4 linked regions of the Mus musculus genome follow. The protein of the gene in region 1 interacts with the protein of each later gene in a pairwise test. Links are inferred from orthologs where the notes say so. Each region holds a gene or a part of one and is shown on either strand. Other genes may lie near its edges.

The links. The genes of interacting proteins can lie anywhere in the genome.
Region 2: the proteins of Psme3 (region 1) and Tnfaip8l1 interact in binary tests that used the Homo sapiens proteins (3 or more experiments, as listed by UniProt). The two-hybrid records come from large-scale screens. The link is inferred for Mus musculus from reciprocal best matches to the Homo sapiens genes PSME3 and TNFAIP8L1.
Region 3: the proteins of Psme3 (region 1) and Eaf2 interact in binary tests that used the Homo sapiens proteins (3 or more experiments, as listed by UniProt). The two-hybrid records come from large-scale screens. The link is inferred for Mus musculus from reciprocal best matches to the Homo sapiens genes PSME3 and EAF2.
Region 4: the proteins of Psme3 (region 1) and Wdr25 interact in binary tests that used the Homo sapiens proteins (3 or more experiments, as listed by UniProt). The two-hybrid records come from large-scale screens. The link is inferred for Mus musculus from reciprocal best matches to the Homo sapiens genes PSME3 and WDR25.

The regions. Positions count from the first base shown.
Region 1 is NC_000077.6:101,314,894-101,319,020, forward strand, and holds the start of Psme3 (proteasome activator complex subunit 3), read left to right. Parts: upstream 1-1,319; 5' UTR 1,320-1,553; coding exon 1,554-1,595; intron 1,596-1,697; exon of another isoform or gene 1,698-2,127; coding exon of another isoform or gene 2,128-2,202; intron 2,203-2,287; coding exon 2,288-2,320; intron 2,321-2,435; coding exon 2,436-2,498; intron 2,499-2,729; coding exon 2,730-2,834; intron 2,835-4,127. UniProt on the Homo sapiens protein: Subunit of the 11S REG-gamma (also called PA28-gamma) proteasome regulator, a doughnut-shaped homoheptamer which associates with the proteasome. 11S REG-gamma activates the trypsin-like catalytic subunit of the proteasome but inhibits the chymotrypsin-like and postglutamyl-preferring (PGPH) subunits.
Region 2 is NC_000083.6:56,161,190-56,165,298, reverse strand, and holds the start of Tnfaip8l1 (tumor necrosis factor alpha-induced protein 8-like protein 1), read right to left. Parts: upstream 2,809-4,109; 5' UTR 2,693-2,808; intron 1-2,692. UniProt on the Homo sapiens protein: Acts as a negative regulator of mTOR activity.
Region 3 is NC_000082.6:36,825,452-36,829,484, forward strand, and holds the start of Eaf2 (ELL-associated factor 2), read right to left. Parts: upstream 2,809-4,033; 5' UTR 2,706-2,808; coding exon 2,600-2,705; intron 1-2,599. UniProt on the Homo sapiens protein: Acts as a transcriptional transactivator of TCEA1 elongation activity. Acts as a transcriptional transactivator of ELL and ELL2 elongation activities. Potent inducer of apoptosis in prostatic and non-prostatic cell lines.
Region 4 is NC_000078.6:108,892,943-108,897,079, forward strand, and holds the start of Wdr25 (WD repeat-containing protein 25), read left to right. Parts: upstream 1-1,329; 5' UTR 1,330-1,371; exon of another isoform or gene 1,372-2,947; intron 2,948-3,949; exon of another isoform or gene 3,950-4,117; intron 4,118-4,137.

The sequences.
Region 1 (4,127 bases):
TGTTACTTTTTAGATATGGCCTTACTCCGAAGCTCAGGCATTTAAAGTCATTATTTACTATGGCTGCTTGCTTACTTTCTAATGTGTGCGCAGAGGTAATAGGACCACTTGCAGGGGTTCTTTCTCATACTGTATGTGTCTAAGGATTGAATTTACATAGCTAGGCTTACAGGCGAGTACCTTAATTCCCACTATGTCATCCATCTTTTAGGTCCTTGTAGCTCAAGTTTCCTGAATATTTTCCATTTAGTTGGTTGACCCGGTGATTTGGAAATCCAGATACAAAAGGCTGACTGCATTGTAATATAAATGTTATTGAAAGTGGCTAAGCCGGGCAGTGGTGGCACACGCCTTTAATCCCAGCACTCGGGAGACAGAGGCAGGCAGATTTCTGAGTTTGAGGCCAGGCCTGGTCTACAACGTCAGTTTCAGGACAGCCAGAGCTACACATAGAAACCCTGTCTCGAACCCCCCTCCCCCCGCCAAAAAAAAAAAAAAAGAAAAAAAAGAAAAAGAAAAAGAAAAGAAAAGAAAGAAAAAAAGAAAAGAAAAAGGAAGTGGCTAAAGTTATTTAATTTTTAAAAAATGTGTCTGCTAGAAGACTTTACCCTATATACATGATGCGCACATTTCTAGTCTCTCCAGAATACTTTTCTGGGGTCTAGCACATACCCCTACTCCATTTGATTGCATGGAATAACACAAACTAAAAGATACACTGCCTAATTGTTGAAAGAGGAGATGCTGTCTCAGACTTGCGTTAGGAAAATGGTAACCTTTTTCCTCTAGAACTGGGAGGATTTGATTCTAGTCAAGTCATTGGAAGCAACGTGTTGTGTCTTAGATAAGCCACGAGGCTGTTTTGGGCGTGAATTTGTCCTTCAGGTATTTGGTATCTGAGGTCTGCACGTTTATGATAACTTTCCCCGGAAAGCCCGGTGCAATGGAACGCGTCTTCGGTTTGACACTAGCCCGAGGGACGGGAGGCGGGAGTCAGCAGTCACAGCCCGGAACCTTAAACTAGGGACCCGGGCCGCGGGCTTCTCCGGCTCACGTCACTAGGGCGCGACGCCTACTCTTCCAGAAGCCCCGGCACATGAGGTCCCACGGTGAAGTCGAGTTCCGGGACAATAAGACACATCACTCTTGAGTCCCCAGGAGGTTTGGATCTCAGCATCCCTGTCCTAGGTTGACCACCACAGGGCACAAGGCCCGGAAGCTCCGACAGCCCCTCCAGGAACCTGTAGAACTGAGTATCAGAGCGGCTGCGCAGGGCACGTGCTCATCCTCCCCGGAGTGCCGGCGATTGGCTGTGACGCAACTTCCGGCGTGAGCGGCGAAAGCCGGGAGGGCGAGCGAGAGAGCAAGCAGCCAGCAGGCGGGCGGGCGGGTGGCCGGCCGGCACGGAGGGAGGGGACGAGCAAGCGGTGAGCAAGCCAGCGAGGGTGCCCGGGTCCCGAGGGCAACGGAGATTCCTCAGGCCCCTCCGGTGCCCTCCCCGGAGCCCAGAGCACCTCCGGCACCCAGCGGAGCGGACACGGCCCGGCCTGGCCATGGCCTCGTTGCTGAAGGTGGATCAGGAAGTGAAGCTCAAGGTAGCGGCATAGCTCCGGCCCCCTCATCCCTCCCTTCGAACCCCCAGCAGTCGGATCTGCTCCCCACTCCCTATGTCGTCTTTGTCTCCCTGGGGACACCAGCTCTGAGCTTCCGCCTGGCTCAACCCAGCCCCCCACGCCTGGAGACGGCATTGGAGAGGACCGTATAGGGTGGCTTTCTGTCCTGCTTCTGGTGATGGAGTGCACCAGGGACTCCTCCGCGGACACGTGTTAAACTCAATGCTTTAGGCTAATGACAGGTGGAAGTCCCCTGGCCCAGCCACGTCCCCGCCCCCGGACGCTGCCACTGACCCTGCCCTTGGAGGCTGGCTTACTGCGTAGGATGGGGCCAGGTCTGGGTGGGAGTTGGCACGTTTGTGAGCTCACTTCTTCCAGTCTGGCTTTTGTCTGCTTATGAAATTGAGAGGGTTTTAGACAACTGGAGGGAGGGACAAAGGGAGGTGAGGGGTGGGTAGGAAGGGAGAGAAGGGGAGACAGGTGCTGGCCTGTAACCCGAACATCCTCTCCCGAGATGGAGAAATGGATCTTGAAAAAGATGAAGTATTTGCAGTCTGGGGGCCTCTCACCTTCTAATTATAATTTCAAGGTGAGGGCGAGACAGCTGGATTTGGGGTTCCCCATCCATGCCCTTGTATCACTAGGTGTTAAGTTGCTCTCTCTGTTCATTGTAGGTTGATTCTTTCAGAGAGCGGATCACAAGTGAGGTGAGTGTTGTAAAGGAGAAAAGTGGTGATGGTTAATAGCTGGGGGTGTCCCCAAAAGATCTGTAGTGAGGGACTGTCCCACGTTTATTAATTCAGGTGTATTCTCTCTGTCTAGGCAGAAGACTTGGTGGCAAATTTTTTCCCAAAGAAGTTACTAGAACTTGATAGTTTTTTGAAGGTGAGAGACACTTTTGTTTCTTTAAATTACTTCTTTGGTCCCTGTCTTTGTGACAGGCGGGGCAGATTGTGTGTTGATTCTGTTCTCTTGTGTACTGTAAAGCATTCTTTTTTTTCTTCGATTTCACAAGAAATACTCCTCTCTCTCTCTCTCTCTTTCTCTCTCTCCTTGTTTTTGATTTTGTTTTAAACTTACACTAATACTGTTTTGGGGTGAATGCCTCTCTTTCAGGAACCAATTCTAAATATCCATGACCTAACTCAGATCCACTCAGACATGAACCTCCCAGTCCCTGACCCCATTCTCCTCACCAATAGCCACGATGGACTGGATGGTGTGAGTGTCTTGCATTTATGTTTGTGTTCTTAGTATTTTATGTTTTGGTAAGCTTGGGGATGTCCGGAGTATGTGGGATTTGCCTGTGGGGTCTGGGGTTCTGTTGTAGGTGTGGTGATTGTAGGATGCTACTTTTTGGACCATTAGTTTCAGTTTTGGCAAGGTAAGTTATGTTAGTGCTGCTCTCAATGTTAGCCCAGGTTTTCATTAGTTCTAAACTAGCCACAGGCTTCCTTCAGCTACCTGGCTTTCCGCCTGCTTGGGAATAAGCCTTTTCTGTTCAGTGTGCTGTGCTCACAGATGGGAGGAACAGCTGGTTTTGCTGCACAGCTGCAGTCTCTGTCTTTACTTGCTCTTTGCTTTGTTTTTGAGACAGCATCTGACTATGTAGCCCTGGCTAGCTTGGAACTCCTTATGCAGGCTAGGTAGACCAGGTTGGCTTCAGACTCATTAAGATCTGCCTGCCCTGCCATCTAAATGCTAGGCTATTGCCAGCTGGCACTGATAGTGTATTAGTTGCATGTCTGTATTGTGTTAGAACGCCGCCTATGCTATAGTTTGATCTAGATTCCTGTGGCTTGGTATTTTGTTGCTGTTGCTTGGTTTTTTTTTGTTTTGTTTTGTTTTTTCTGTCCTAGAAGTTGAGCCTAGGGTCTTGTGCATGCTATATAAATGCTGTACCGGGCTGTTGAGATGGCTCAACGGGTAAAAGCACCGACTGTTCTTCTGAAAGTCATGAGTTCAAATCCCAGCAACCATATGGTGGCTCACAACCACCCGTAACAAGATCTGACGCCCTCCTCTGGTGTGTCTGAAGACAGCCACAGTGTATTTACATATAATTTTTACATATAAGATTTATTTACATATAATAAATAAATCTTAAAAAAAAACTATAAATGCTGTACCACTGATTTATATTCCTAGCTTTCAGGACTTTCTTAATTATAACTAATTAAGCCGAGTACGGTGGCTGAGCATTCAGCTTGCCTGGAGAAGGAGAATTGTGTGTTCATGACCAGCCTGGGATACATAGGAAGTTGAAGGCTAGCTGGGACACATACTGGGATACTTTCTTTAAAAATCAAGATAAACCTGCAGTTAGGAGACGCCTCAGTAGTCTGAATCCTTAGCTCCTAACATTACTTCTACCATATAGAAGGTAATGGGCTGAGATTGCTGAATCAGGAATTTCTTCATATTAGAGCCAAAGGATCCATGCATACTCCCTCAGTTATCCCCTACCTGCCTTGATTGCTTTCTTCTTATTTTTGAAGTGGAACTTTCCCCAAT
Region 2 (4,109 bases), on another chromosome or scaffold:
TGCTGTAGCCCAGGCTACCTTTGGATTTACCATGATCCTCCTGGCCCAGCCTCTTAGGTGTGTCCCACCACGCCCAACATCCACTCATGGTTTTAACAAAAGGGAAATATGAAGGTTATCAGTGTGCACATTCAGCCCCAGGATGTATTGGCTTCTTCCATTTCCAACGGTCTGAAGCCTCCATCCTGGTTCCTCTCACCCTATCCAGGATTCCTGAAATGCCAGAAGCCCCTGTGAGCACTGAGTTCGCTCCCCTCTCTGCCCTCATCCCTCCATGGTCCCATCTCCCTCTGCTGCAGCCACAGTGCCTCCTCCATTCACCTCTTGAACACCAGGCTCAGTCCTGCCCCAGGACCTTTACACATGCTGAGCCCGGCACTTACAATAGTCTTCCTCAGGTTGCTATGTGGCTGTTTTACCCTGGAACTCTCAGATCTCTCCACGAACACTCAGTTCCCCGGTTCCTTCCTCTTCTTACAGTTACTATTATAGTTCAGGACAGAGTCCAGCATTACCAACTGTGAGGCAGGAGGATGGTGGGCACTGGGCCAGCTTCAGTCACTGCTGTGTGCTGGCGACATTAGCTACCACACTTCAGTTATCTCAGTGTTCAGGGACAGTTTATCAAATGACTAAGTAACTTCTCATGGTTATGACAAAAGGAGAAACTGAGTCAGGGGCCTGGGAGCTGACAGATATGCACAGAATAACACCAGGCTAGAACTGGGACTTGAATCCAGCCCTTACCTGGAAGCTCATTGCATTACAACCTTTCCCTGGGGTCCACCCTAAAATTTGGGAGCCTAATGATCTAGTCTGGGAATCTTCCAGAGCTATGCACACGGTCAACCCTACCACGGTTCTTTCTTTGGTCAGGACTACAGAAGACCCCACCTGCACAGCACCCTCTGGAGTGGTTACCTCCGCTGGTTTCCACATGGGGAAACACAGGGTTGGGGCTCAGAAAAACCATGCAGGGGAGACACTGGGGTTCTTGGAGGAGTGAGCTCACTGGGCCCCCGGATCAAGTCTCACTCTCTTTAAGCCTCCACTAAGCCCTGGATGGCACCTGAGTCAGTGGGTGGCACGCCTTCCTGTGGCCATGATTATTTGGCCTGTATGCTGAGTCCCCTCATACGGAATCAGATTTTTGTGAGGTGAGTCCTAGCTTGCCTAGGGCTGAGAGAGTAAACTGAGGGACAAGTCTCTATGTCTCTTCATACCCTCAGGATCCACCACTCACCCATTACGGAACTAGCAGCCCTGGCCCAAGTCTGGCTCACCATGTGTGGGAAGGCCCAGGGCAGGTGTTCTGTGATGACTCTCTTTGTTCTGTTACATTGTACAGTCCCCATGGCCCCGCCCTCATCCCTCCCAGTCACCCACATCCTAGGTGCGGCCCAGATCATGAACTTATTATGTTTTAAAGTTGTCGCTGCCTGTGTTGATCTGCCAGGGTTGTAGAGGGCTCAGCACGCACAAAGGTCTCAAGTGCAAGGACATTCCATGTGGAGAAGAGGCGGCCACTTTGAGGTCCCAGGACAGAAAAACAGGAAGTTTGGCACTCAAAGCCTACATTCCTGTTCTCTCTCTCTCTCTCTCTCTCTCTCTCTCTCTCTCTCTCTCTCTCTCTCTCTCTTTCTCTGTTGGCTGTTGTTTGTTACAGGATCTCTATACATAGTTATGGCTAGCCTGGAACTCACTTTGTAGACCTGGCCTCAAACTTACAGGCATCCACCTGCCTCTATTCTAAGCACTGGGTAAATGGGTAAATGTCCTGGTATATGTTGTGTTTGGGCCGGAACCCAAGGCCTCTTGCTTACTAGGTGAGCACTCTACGCACTGGGCTACACCCTAGGGTCCCTTTTGTTTTAGAGACAGCCTCGGTGTGTAGCCCACCCTGGCTCAGCCTCTCTTTTGTCTGTTTAAGCACCCCCAAGAAGCCTCAGGGAGTCACGAAACAACTGTCCCAAGTCAGACAGGGAAACTGAGGCTTATAATTAAGTTACTTGTTCAAGTGAGTCAGGTTTGTCTGAGCTGTGTCCTAACCCCAAGGCAAGGTGTTCAGAGGCGTCACAGCCTGGAGCTCGGGAAGTGACCCAGAGGCCTGTTTCCAGTTTAGTGTTCCACCCTGTCCCTCTCCAGCCCCGCTGCTCACAAAGGTGACAAACCAGAATATGGTTCTGGAGACAGTGTCTCCATCTCTCTGGCCATCCGCAGCCCATATTCTGGACCCCAGTTTATCCTCCAAACCAACACTGAAAGAGCCAGGAGGCTGCAGACCTGGATCAGGTCACCTGCCAATTATGTGACAGCCACTGTCCCAGTTCCCAGATGGTAAAACTGAGTTCAAGCCCTCGGGCAATGGGAAGCTTGAAGTGCCAGTCCCAGTCAGGGTAACCCTGCACCAGCCAGAGCCACAGTGGGGTCCAGCTGGCTACCTCAGAGAATACCTAGACCATTCTGGAGTCAGGCTGCACACTTGTACAGAGCCAAGTCCATCAAGTGTCCTCTTGAGGACATGTGTTAGGACTATTACAGTAGCCCACAGCAACCTGCTCACAACACCCATGCTCCCACAGTCAGTAATAGGTATACAGAGGAAACTGAGGCGGGATATACAGAGGACGGTGTGGGGATAGGAGGGGACGGAAAGAACCCAGGATAGCCAATGCAGGACCCCATCGCTCACCTGCTCCTCGGGATGTGTCAAGCCTTCAGTTTTCTGTAGGTGCCTCTGTGGGGCCAGAGGCATTGGCCGCTGGATCTGAGCCCGGCCGCTGGCTAGGAGGCCACGCCCCCGAGAAAGGGCTCGCCCCCTCTAAACGCTCACTGGCTCAGCAAATGGTAGCGCACAGGCAGTGTACGAAGGAGCCAATGGCAGCAAGCCTCTGCCAGGAGGTGGGAGGCATGACGCGGGCGTGGGCGAGGGCGTGGTCTGCGGCCGGGAGATTCCTCCGGAATAGCGCCGGCGCTGGGTGCCCAGCGCAAGGGATGCCGTGGCGGGAAAGTGTTGGAAGGAAGAGGAAGGAGACTGAGACAGAGAAAAATGGGGTATACGTGCACCGCGCGACAGAGATCTGAGAGGCCAAAGCGAAGAGAGGCGCCTCCGCGAGACACCTGCATCCCTCTGAGCGGGTCTCAGTTTACCCACTAGGTAGTTAGAGTGTCACCTGGGACTCCCATGACAAATGCACCCCAACATTTGCCTTGCAACAATTTTGGGGTTCCTGAGTACTGCGGAGACTCTCTTTCAGTTGGTGTCTCTGGAGTAAGGGGGGAGGCACTGTGATGACCTCCCTGACAGAGGCCAGACAGGGCCAGCTACCTCCCAGGGGGCAGCTGTGAGACCTGGAAAATCAGTCTGGGAGTGATTCCCACACTCCCACCACCCCCAACCCATCCCCAACACCCCCACCTTACTCCAAACTCCACCCCAACTCAACCACGGGTCTGCACTTCCTGTGCCTGGATGGCCCTGTCACAGCAAGGACACTTGGAAAAGCCTCATCTGCCATCTTCCCTCTTCAGAAAGCCCCCTCAGGTGTTTGCTGACTGCATTCTAACCTTCCTTGCATGAGCCTTAACACACAAAACTAAATCCAGGCTTTTGAGAGATAGAAATTGAGACCCAGAGAAACCTTAAGTGACTTGCCTAGAGCAGCACAGACCCAAGTGGCTTTCCTGATTTCAGATTGTCTGTGCTCTGGGCCAGGAACTTACAAGTTCAGTAGCCATCCCAGCTCTGCCGGGTGCTGAACATGGCCTCTATCTGCTCTGTACCAGGAGCTCACCCTTGTGACAGCCACACAGGACCCTAGACAGAGCTCAGTATCAAAGACAGAGACCACAGCTCTAGGTTTTTCATACCCCAGTATGAGCCAGGGCAATTAGTGTGTTTTTGAGGTGTGTGGGGGGAAGCAGGTGTCACTGAAGCAGGTTTGGGGGCTTCTGATTTTTGAGCACTTAGAGTCTGAGGAACCCACAGATATCATAGGTGTGATAAAGTGGGGATCAAACCCAGCTGTGTGGGTTCAGGGCTAGAGCCTACCCCTCCCACTTGCCTAGAGTCCCGTGGTGAGAGGCTGGGTCGTGGACAGGGTGGAGCC
Region 3 (4,033 bases), on another chromosome or scaffold:
GCAAGTTGCATGCATCAGTACTCCTCGTACATAATTGAATAGAACTCATAAAAACTAATGGTGGCTATTATTTATTCTTTACCATGTTCTAAATACCATGTTAGATTCTTTTTTATGTTACCACAACCTCTCTAGGAAAGAATCCAAAAAGGTAGATATTACCATTTTCACCTATGAATACTGTGGTTGAAAGCTTAGAGACTGTTCCCAAAGTCACGTTACACACAGGTTTGGTGAAGTTCAGGGTTCACATACAGGCTTATCTGAAGCATTCGTATAAAAGATAGGCAAGATTTATCCCATATATGAGACAAAACAATACTTAATCTCAAATAGCATTGGCTTGAGTGGTTTAAATTAGGTCCACCTGCTCTGCATAAATGTCAAATACTATATGATATAGTTTCCATTCCTTACGAGTTCTTGAGACTGAGGGGACACTGGAAATGAACCTGTTCAAATAAACCTAAAAGGATTCTGTGTAATATTATACTTAATTGGATAGGGTGGGGCGGGGGGGGGGGGAGACAGTATTTTTTTAAGTCTTCTGCAGGACTAAGGGTGGAGTCTAAGCTTGTTTACTGTGCTTGTGATTATGCTTTGTCTTTTGGCATATGCTTGTTTATTGTCATTCTTGTGGCTCGATTATCCGACTCTAATTTGGAAAATATGTTTTCAACATCTTAAGAACTTTTGTAAAGCCGGGATGTAGCTCAGCGATAGAGCACTTGACTAGTATGCACAAAGCCCTGGGTTTGAGTTCTAACGCTGTAATTAATCCTGTAAAGAACCCATAAATAAAAGTCTTAGGAACACCTGCAAGGCACTTTTCAAAAGCTGTATTTCATTCATTTAATTTTGGATTTGCATCTGTAGGAAGAGAATGCATATCTAAGCTGTAAAATATATATACATCGAGGGACTGGAGAGATGTTTCAGAAGTTAAGAGCACCACTGGCTGTTCTTACAGAGAACTTGGGTCCTTCTCAGCACCAGCATCAGGTCACTGATAGCCACGGTTAACTCCACTTACAAGGGACTTGAGGCTCTCTTGCGGTCTCTGAGGGCACTGCATAATATGATGTGCATATATAGACTCAGGCCCACACATACACATAAAAAAAATAAACATATCTATCACTAAATAACTTTTTTGTAACTTTAAACTTTGTACTGAAAAACAAAAGATCACTGCATGCCTGAGAAGAAGGAAGAGGAAAAGGACATAGTACTTGGGAAAGGGGCATTGAGAGGTCAGTTAAGAACAGTACCTTGCTTTTGGAAAGGGGAGAGACAGAGAGACAGAGAGAGAGAGGGGGAGGGAGGGGAGGGAGGGAGGGAGGGAGGGAGGGAGGGAGAGAAGGAGAGAGGGAGAGAGAGAGAGAGGGAGAGAGAGAGGGAGGGAGAGAGGGAGAGAGACTATGGCTGCACAACACTCACTGATTCATTGTGGGGAACTCTGGATGGTAACCCAGAGCAAAATAAACAAGGAGCACTACTGAAGTTCTGTTGGTAAACTTCTCCCATTTATTCCACCAAAACATGATATTTTTGCTTAATGCAGCCTTTTTATAAAGCTTAAATATAATCAATGGAAGGTTAAACCCATTGGTTCTTCCTACATTTACTCTGAGTTATTATAGATGAATTGTCTACAACTTAAACTTTGAAGACTGAGTTTTAAATGAGTGTTTTTCAGAATATAAACCTTGTAAGGAAAAGGACAGAATGGTGGAGAATGTAGGACAAGCAGACAGTAAAGAAGAGCTGGGCTGCAAAAGAGATGTGAAAAAAAATCTACAATTTCACACACACACACACACACACACACACAGAGGTCACAACTCAGTGACCTTTCCCTTATGCGCTAGAATTCTGTGGCCTATTATGCAAAAAAGAAGTTTTACATACAAAATTAAGTTATATTTTTCGTGCTGGCATCTCATTTAATTACTAAAACGAAAAGGCTCATTATAACCTCTTTTTCAACAATATTAGAGATAACCTATTAAAATAGATCCCAGAGAACAAAACACCAAAGGGTAGAAATCATTAGGAGGTAGATTTTTAAAGTAAAGAAACTAGATAAAAAAATCTTTCAATTTTTGATAATCAGTAATTACTTAGTTGACCATGAAATCTGAGATGGAAAGAGATACAAACGATTGAGACAGCTGACAATCTCTTCCCAAGAACAAACTAAATGGGAACCCTCATCAGCCAGAATGGGGAAGAAATGTCCTTGTGGCCTCTCCACATCACTTTTGCCCTGCATTCGGTCCTTTGTTCCATCTGTCTGTCACCTTTTCAAACTCTGCACCATCCACTTGTCACGCTAGTCTCCACAGCCACCCGTGCAGATCGTCCCACAAAACTTCCTCTCAGGTCTGTCAGTCTCACTTAAACCCTTCCAGGGTTCTCCTACACTGTGGGACGCCAGGTGCCTGCACAGAGGCTGGCAACTGGGTAGTGGATCACTGTGCCATCTGGTCTCCCGGGGAGCAAAGAGCGGCGGGGACAGAATTACAGAATCCGGAGGAGTCTGTCTCCATACCACCCTCCCATCCCAGAAGGAACCCGGGGTACAGTCTGCACTCACAGCGCACGGTGTGGAAGGCACAGCGCGGCTGCTTCTCGAAACTTTCGCCTAGCTTGAGAACCCGCTCGCGACGGTCCAGGTATGCAAGTCCCGCTGGTCCACTCATCCTCGTCCCCTGCCTCCCGCTTTTGGCCTTCGCCGTCCCCTGCCACAGCCTCTGGAACAGCTGCACTGGCTGCGAGCTTGAGTTCGGTGCCCGGGACCAGCTCCTTTCACCTCCAGACGCGTGCGGCCGCCCCTTGGAGCGCCCCGAGTCTTGATTGGCTGTCTGGAGACACCTGCCCCGCCCCTCGCCCCAGGGCCCCGCCCCGCCCCTGGCCACCATCCCCGCCCCTAGCCCCCTTCCCGCGTCGCGACGCACACAGCTCGGCGGAGACCGCCTCGCTGAGGTACGCTGTGCGGGTCGGGCCCTGAGGTGGACGGACGCGGGGAAAGAGATGAGGTAACAGACCCGAGATGGCGGCTGGGATGGAGGAAAGGCCCTAGGGGGGCGGGGAAGCTAGGACGCCAGACACCCAGGGCAGAACTGCCTGGCGGGGCCTGGTAACGGGAGCGTGGGCCTCCTCCGCGCCGGGCCCGCAGGTTTGGTGTGGAAACGGACGCCTGACGAGAGGTGGCGGCCGGGCCCAGGCCTGGGGCCTCCTGAGGCCTAGCTGCTCTGAGGCGGGTCTGGAACCCCAGCCGCGCCCCCTCAGGTGATGTGACCAGACTGGAAACCTCTGGAAGCCGCGCAGTTACCTTTAAGGGCCGTTCATTTATTTATTTTTTCTTCTTTCTTTCTTTCTTATTTATTTATTTATTTATTTATTATTTTTTAATTAGCCCTTTAAAAACACAGGCTTTTCCCGCCGGGGTTAGGACCTGAGGAGGGGGCGTTTCCGGAGGCGACGGAGAAGCCTAGGGTTAGGGGTAACTGACTGCTGTACGTTTGTTTCTGGCATTTGTTTCTGTAGTGATTCCTGGAAGCACTGAAGAGCGCGGCCTTGGGACTCTTGATTTCTCAGAGATCAGTCTAGCAGTAGGGTAAGAGCGTCAATTGATTGATAATTGCCTTCACACACACACACACACACACCCCACCTCACAGAAGTGTTATGAAGTAGGAGAAAGCGTGCTTTGTATTGGAGGATTATTCAGAGAAAGTCTACAGTGAGCCCCCTCAGGTGATTCTTCAGGTTAATTGTGGCATCAGACTATGCTTTCAGCACTTCTACCTTAAATAGGTTTGTCAATTTATTTTTTTCAGATGGATGAGGGATTATTTTTTGCCTTCTACCCTTTAAAGATACAAGGAGAGATTGTTCAATGTATTTATGCACGAAGGTTCTGAAGCCAGAATCTCTGGGCTTGTACGTCAGCTTCATACTCTCAATGTGATTTTTGTGCAAGCAAATCAAACAAATGTGTTTATCATTAGAATTGGGGAAATAATAA
Region 4 (4,137 bases), on another chromosome or scaffold:
TGAATGCAAACAGGTCACTGGGCACCCACCACATCTACTCAAAACCAGGGCATCACCTGAACCTGAGTCAACTAGATGAAATACATGCACAACATCCCAATCCAGACACACACCCTCCTCAAGTCTTCAATGCTCTCATATGAGGTAGGTGACCCAAACCAAACCACTGCAACAACAGAAAACACGCTGCTAGCCTAGCAGAGAAGGCAATACGTACCCTGGCTGTGTAGTCCAAGGGTGCTCAAGCTGGACAGCTGAACATATGAGACTGCCCAGCCAGGGTGGAGGTCTTTAATACTCTCCTCTTCCCCTTTCAGTTTCTTTGTTTGTTTCTTTTTTTTTTTCTTTTTTTTTTAGAAGAGACTATTGTTTTTCTTATCTGCTTTGCCACACCCTTTCAGTTTCACTTACTGAGGGGTTTCCTAGAAATCACTCAGGTTCCCAAAAGCATTTGAGCCATTTGCCCAGCTTTCTTCAAGAGCAAGTCCAGCCACTGGCTAGCTACTTGGGCCGTGGGAGGAGGCGGCTGAGGCCAACCAAACTCTCAAGAGCCCGGAGCTACTTGTCATTGCATTGCATCAGCTGTCCCTTTCTTCAGGTTGACCGCCATATGACCTCCCCACCCTCTTCCTTTCCCGCCCCCACAGCATCATTGCAATTGTGTGTAGTGTAGCGACAAATAGGACGGGCATATCGCTTTGTACATCACTGCCTTCCCGAAGCAGCCTTGCTCTGAAGTTGTGCACTGCAGCGGAAAGATAGGCTTTTAATGTTGGACATAGAGCTTGGTGTGCTATCATAAAACCGTGGGCAAGTAGCGTTCCTTCTCTGCTTCTCTTTAGGATTCCTCATCTGTGAAACGGGCACCAGGGGCTTTACAAACACTTCGTACAGGGCAAAGAGATCCTACAGGGCAAAGCCCAGGCGGTGGGAAACGATGACAGGCTGGGTGGGCGGCGCCGCCGCAGCCTCCCGGTCCCTCGTGGTACAGGTGCCCAGAGAACAGACAGCCCGGTTCCGAGCTGGATCCTCGGGGCGCGGCGCCGGGGCGTCAACCGAAGGCCCCGGCGCCACCTCGGCATCCCTCCCTCGCTCCCGGCGCAGTGACCACCCCCTCCTCACTTACCGGCGGCCCCCACTTCGGCCCCACCAGTCAGCACCCCCAAGTTCAGCCACCGGTACCTCTTGGGCGTCCGTGGAAACACCAGCCGGCTGGAATAACTTCCGGTCTCGGCATGCCGCTATTGGCTGTCCAGGCAGAGGAGGGCAGAGACCATCTCCGATTGGCTGAAATTGCTGGCGTCGTGGTGGAACGCGACTGGGCGGCCCGAGTGCTGGCCGGACCGTTGTAGGGGTGGACCAAGAGCTTCCGTGTGTGTGTGTGTGTGGTGAGCGGCGGGCCCGGGAGGGAGGGGGCCGGGATGTGGCGGCCGCATGCTTCTCGCTTCTTAGCGCCGGGCTCAGCTCGCCGCTTGCCTTCCTGTTCTTCCCGTTCATTCCTAGAGTGCTGTGCTCTGAACTCTTTACCCATTAGTGTTGACAGCTTGGCTAACTTACTCATCCTTCAAAACCCGTGTCTGTTTTTTGTTTCCCATCCTGTATCCATGGCCTCTGGGGCAAGATCCGTGTGAATTTCTACCCACATCAGATCTATCATAGTGCCTAACACAGAGTAGGAAACTAGGACCCGTGTGTTGAACGGGAAAATTCTGTCTTTAACTTTCCCAGTTCCCTGCCCCATCACCTTGCTGTCTGCAAATTCATCCAGATTGAGGCTTCTTGGACAGTGAGCTAAGCACACAGGACACCCTGCCCCATGTATCCGTGCTCCCTTTAGCTTTTCAGTATTCGACTTCAGTCCTCAGTCCTCTTTTTCCCCCATTTAGCCTCTTCCTCTTGGTTTCACCTCCCCCCCCCCCCCTTTCTCATGGCATTTTTTGGACTTGGGTACAAGATGGCTACCATCATCTCCTAAACGGTGTGCATCTCTCTCAGCCGTCTCCCTTCATATATGTTTTCTTGACTCACCCTTGACTCCTCTTCATTGGTATTGGTTCTGTTTTAGTCACAGTATTGTGAACACCTTAGTTCCCTCAACCTCTTCAGAGCGTCACACTGGTGTAGTCTCTCTGAGACCTGTCTCAGCTCCAGAAAAAGATGCAGTCTTGGGCCCAGCTACCCTGTATCCTTTTCCTTTTGAGTTCACAAGTCCACGACATCGTCTGGCTCACGAGTCAGGGATGTTTTTGTCTTTCTATGGCTTGGGAGTGTGATGAATGAAGGACATCATTTACTGTTTTGCCTACTGTGGCAGATGTTGAGTGAGAGAATGAAATCTATGTGTGGTGCATCTGGTGTCCAGTCCCTTGCTGTCGTTCATTTTCTATCCCCTGTGGAGCTGATGAGCCACACTGTCCTCAGATCTGCTATAGGCCTCTTTTGTGAGTCTACCCTGCAGATAACCGTGTAGCTTAAAACCCAGGCTGTGACCGAGCTCTATATAGTATGGTGGTGGGAATCAGATGGGTTTCATTTGAGGAACCAGGAGATTGGCCTCAACTCCCTGCTGAATATGTAGAGATCAAATTATTTGCAGAGCATGGGTCTATCTCTGTGTGGTTAGTCTCTAGTGGGATCTTAGTTTGGTTGGAGAGTGGAAAGCTGGTTTTAGAAGTCCTTTTTCGAAGATGTTTCTAAATGTGGACATTGTTACCTGCCTGGATTCAGCTGCTGGTAGGAATGATAGCTACAGGCATTGGATGATGAGCAGACTTGTATGGCAGTGGGATTCTTAGGGCAAATAATGCCATTAGGGGACAGATGTGGAAGGCTTTGAGTGGAATTTTGGAGCCCAGTGTGTGATCTGACATGGTGATATATACTTGTAATGCCAGCACTCTGAAGGCTGAGGCAGGAAGACTGGACTAAGACCAGCCTGGCTTACATAGTGAGTACTTGTAATGGGCTAGGGAGGTTCATCTGTTAAAGACACTTGTTTTGAAATCATGAAGACCAAAGTTTGGATCCCAGCACCCATGTAACAAGCCATTTCACACTTGCTTGTAACTCAACCTGTAAGAGGTCACAGACAGACTATGTCTCGAATAGATAGAAAGTGAAACAGCACAGGACTCCATCTTCTGGCCTCCTTGTATTTAGGAGAACAGGTTTGCACATTCGCATAGGCATGCATACACTTACACAGCAAACACACAAGCATAAAAAAAGAAGCGGGCTAGCTGGTCCATGGCCCAGGCTTGCACTTTGTCCCACTCCACCCTCTGCTGGCTGAGATATGCTCAGCATCCTTATTTTCTTTCTGTCTGTACTCACAGAATTAATACTGAGTTTTAGACCAAAGCAATTCTTACTGAGAACTAGCTGATAGAAATTTGTGAATGCTCAGAATTCCAGGAAAAACTTTTGAATGGAAATTTAGTACCCTGTGAACCTATGCATTTGGGGTGAAACAAACAGATTTGGATGCCATGTTTAGAATTGCTCTTGCCACAGTTGGGTTGACTGGTGACTTAGGACCCAACCTGGGCTTTGTACGTGCCCGGGCAGTACTCTGCAGTTGCTCTGTTTCTCTGGACACGGATTTTTTCTTTTTTTTTGTTTGTTTGTTTTTAGAGACAGGGTTTCTCTGTGTGACCCTGGCTGTCCTTGAACTCACTCTGCAGATCAGGCTGCCTCGAATTCAGAAATCCACCTGTCTCTGCCTCCTGAGTGCTGGGATTATAGGTGTACATCATCATCTCCAGGCTGAGGTTGTTTGTTTTTAAAGACTGGGTCTTGCCTAGGTATCCCAGGGTGTCCTTGAAGTCATAATCCTCCTGCCTCAGCATCACGAATGCTAGGCTCAAAGGTGGGTGCTGCCATACCCAGGTCCCTCTTGCCCTCGTGCTCTTTTTCTACATTCTCTTTTTTCTTCTCTTCTGCTTTGCAGTGCGGAGGGGCAAACCCAGAACCTTGCATGTGTTGACAAGAATTCTGTCAGCGAGCTTTAGCCCCAGCCCCACAGAGGTTTCCATTTAAAAAATTATCTGTAAAACCAGGAAGTGGAGGCCCAGGCCTTTAATCCCAGCACTAAGGAAGCAGAGGCAGAAGGATCTCGGTAAGTGTGAGGTCAGCCTG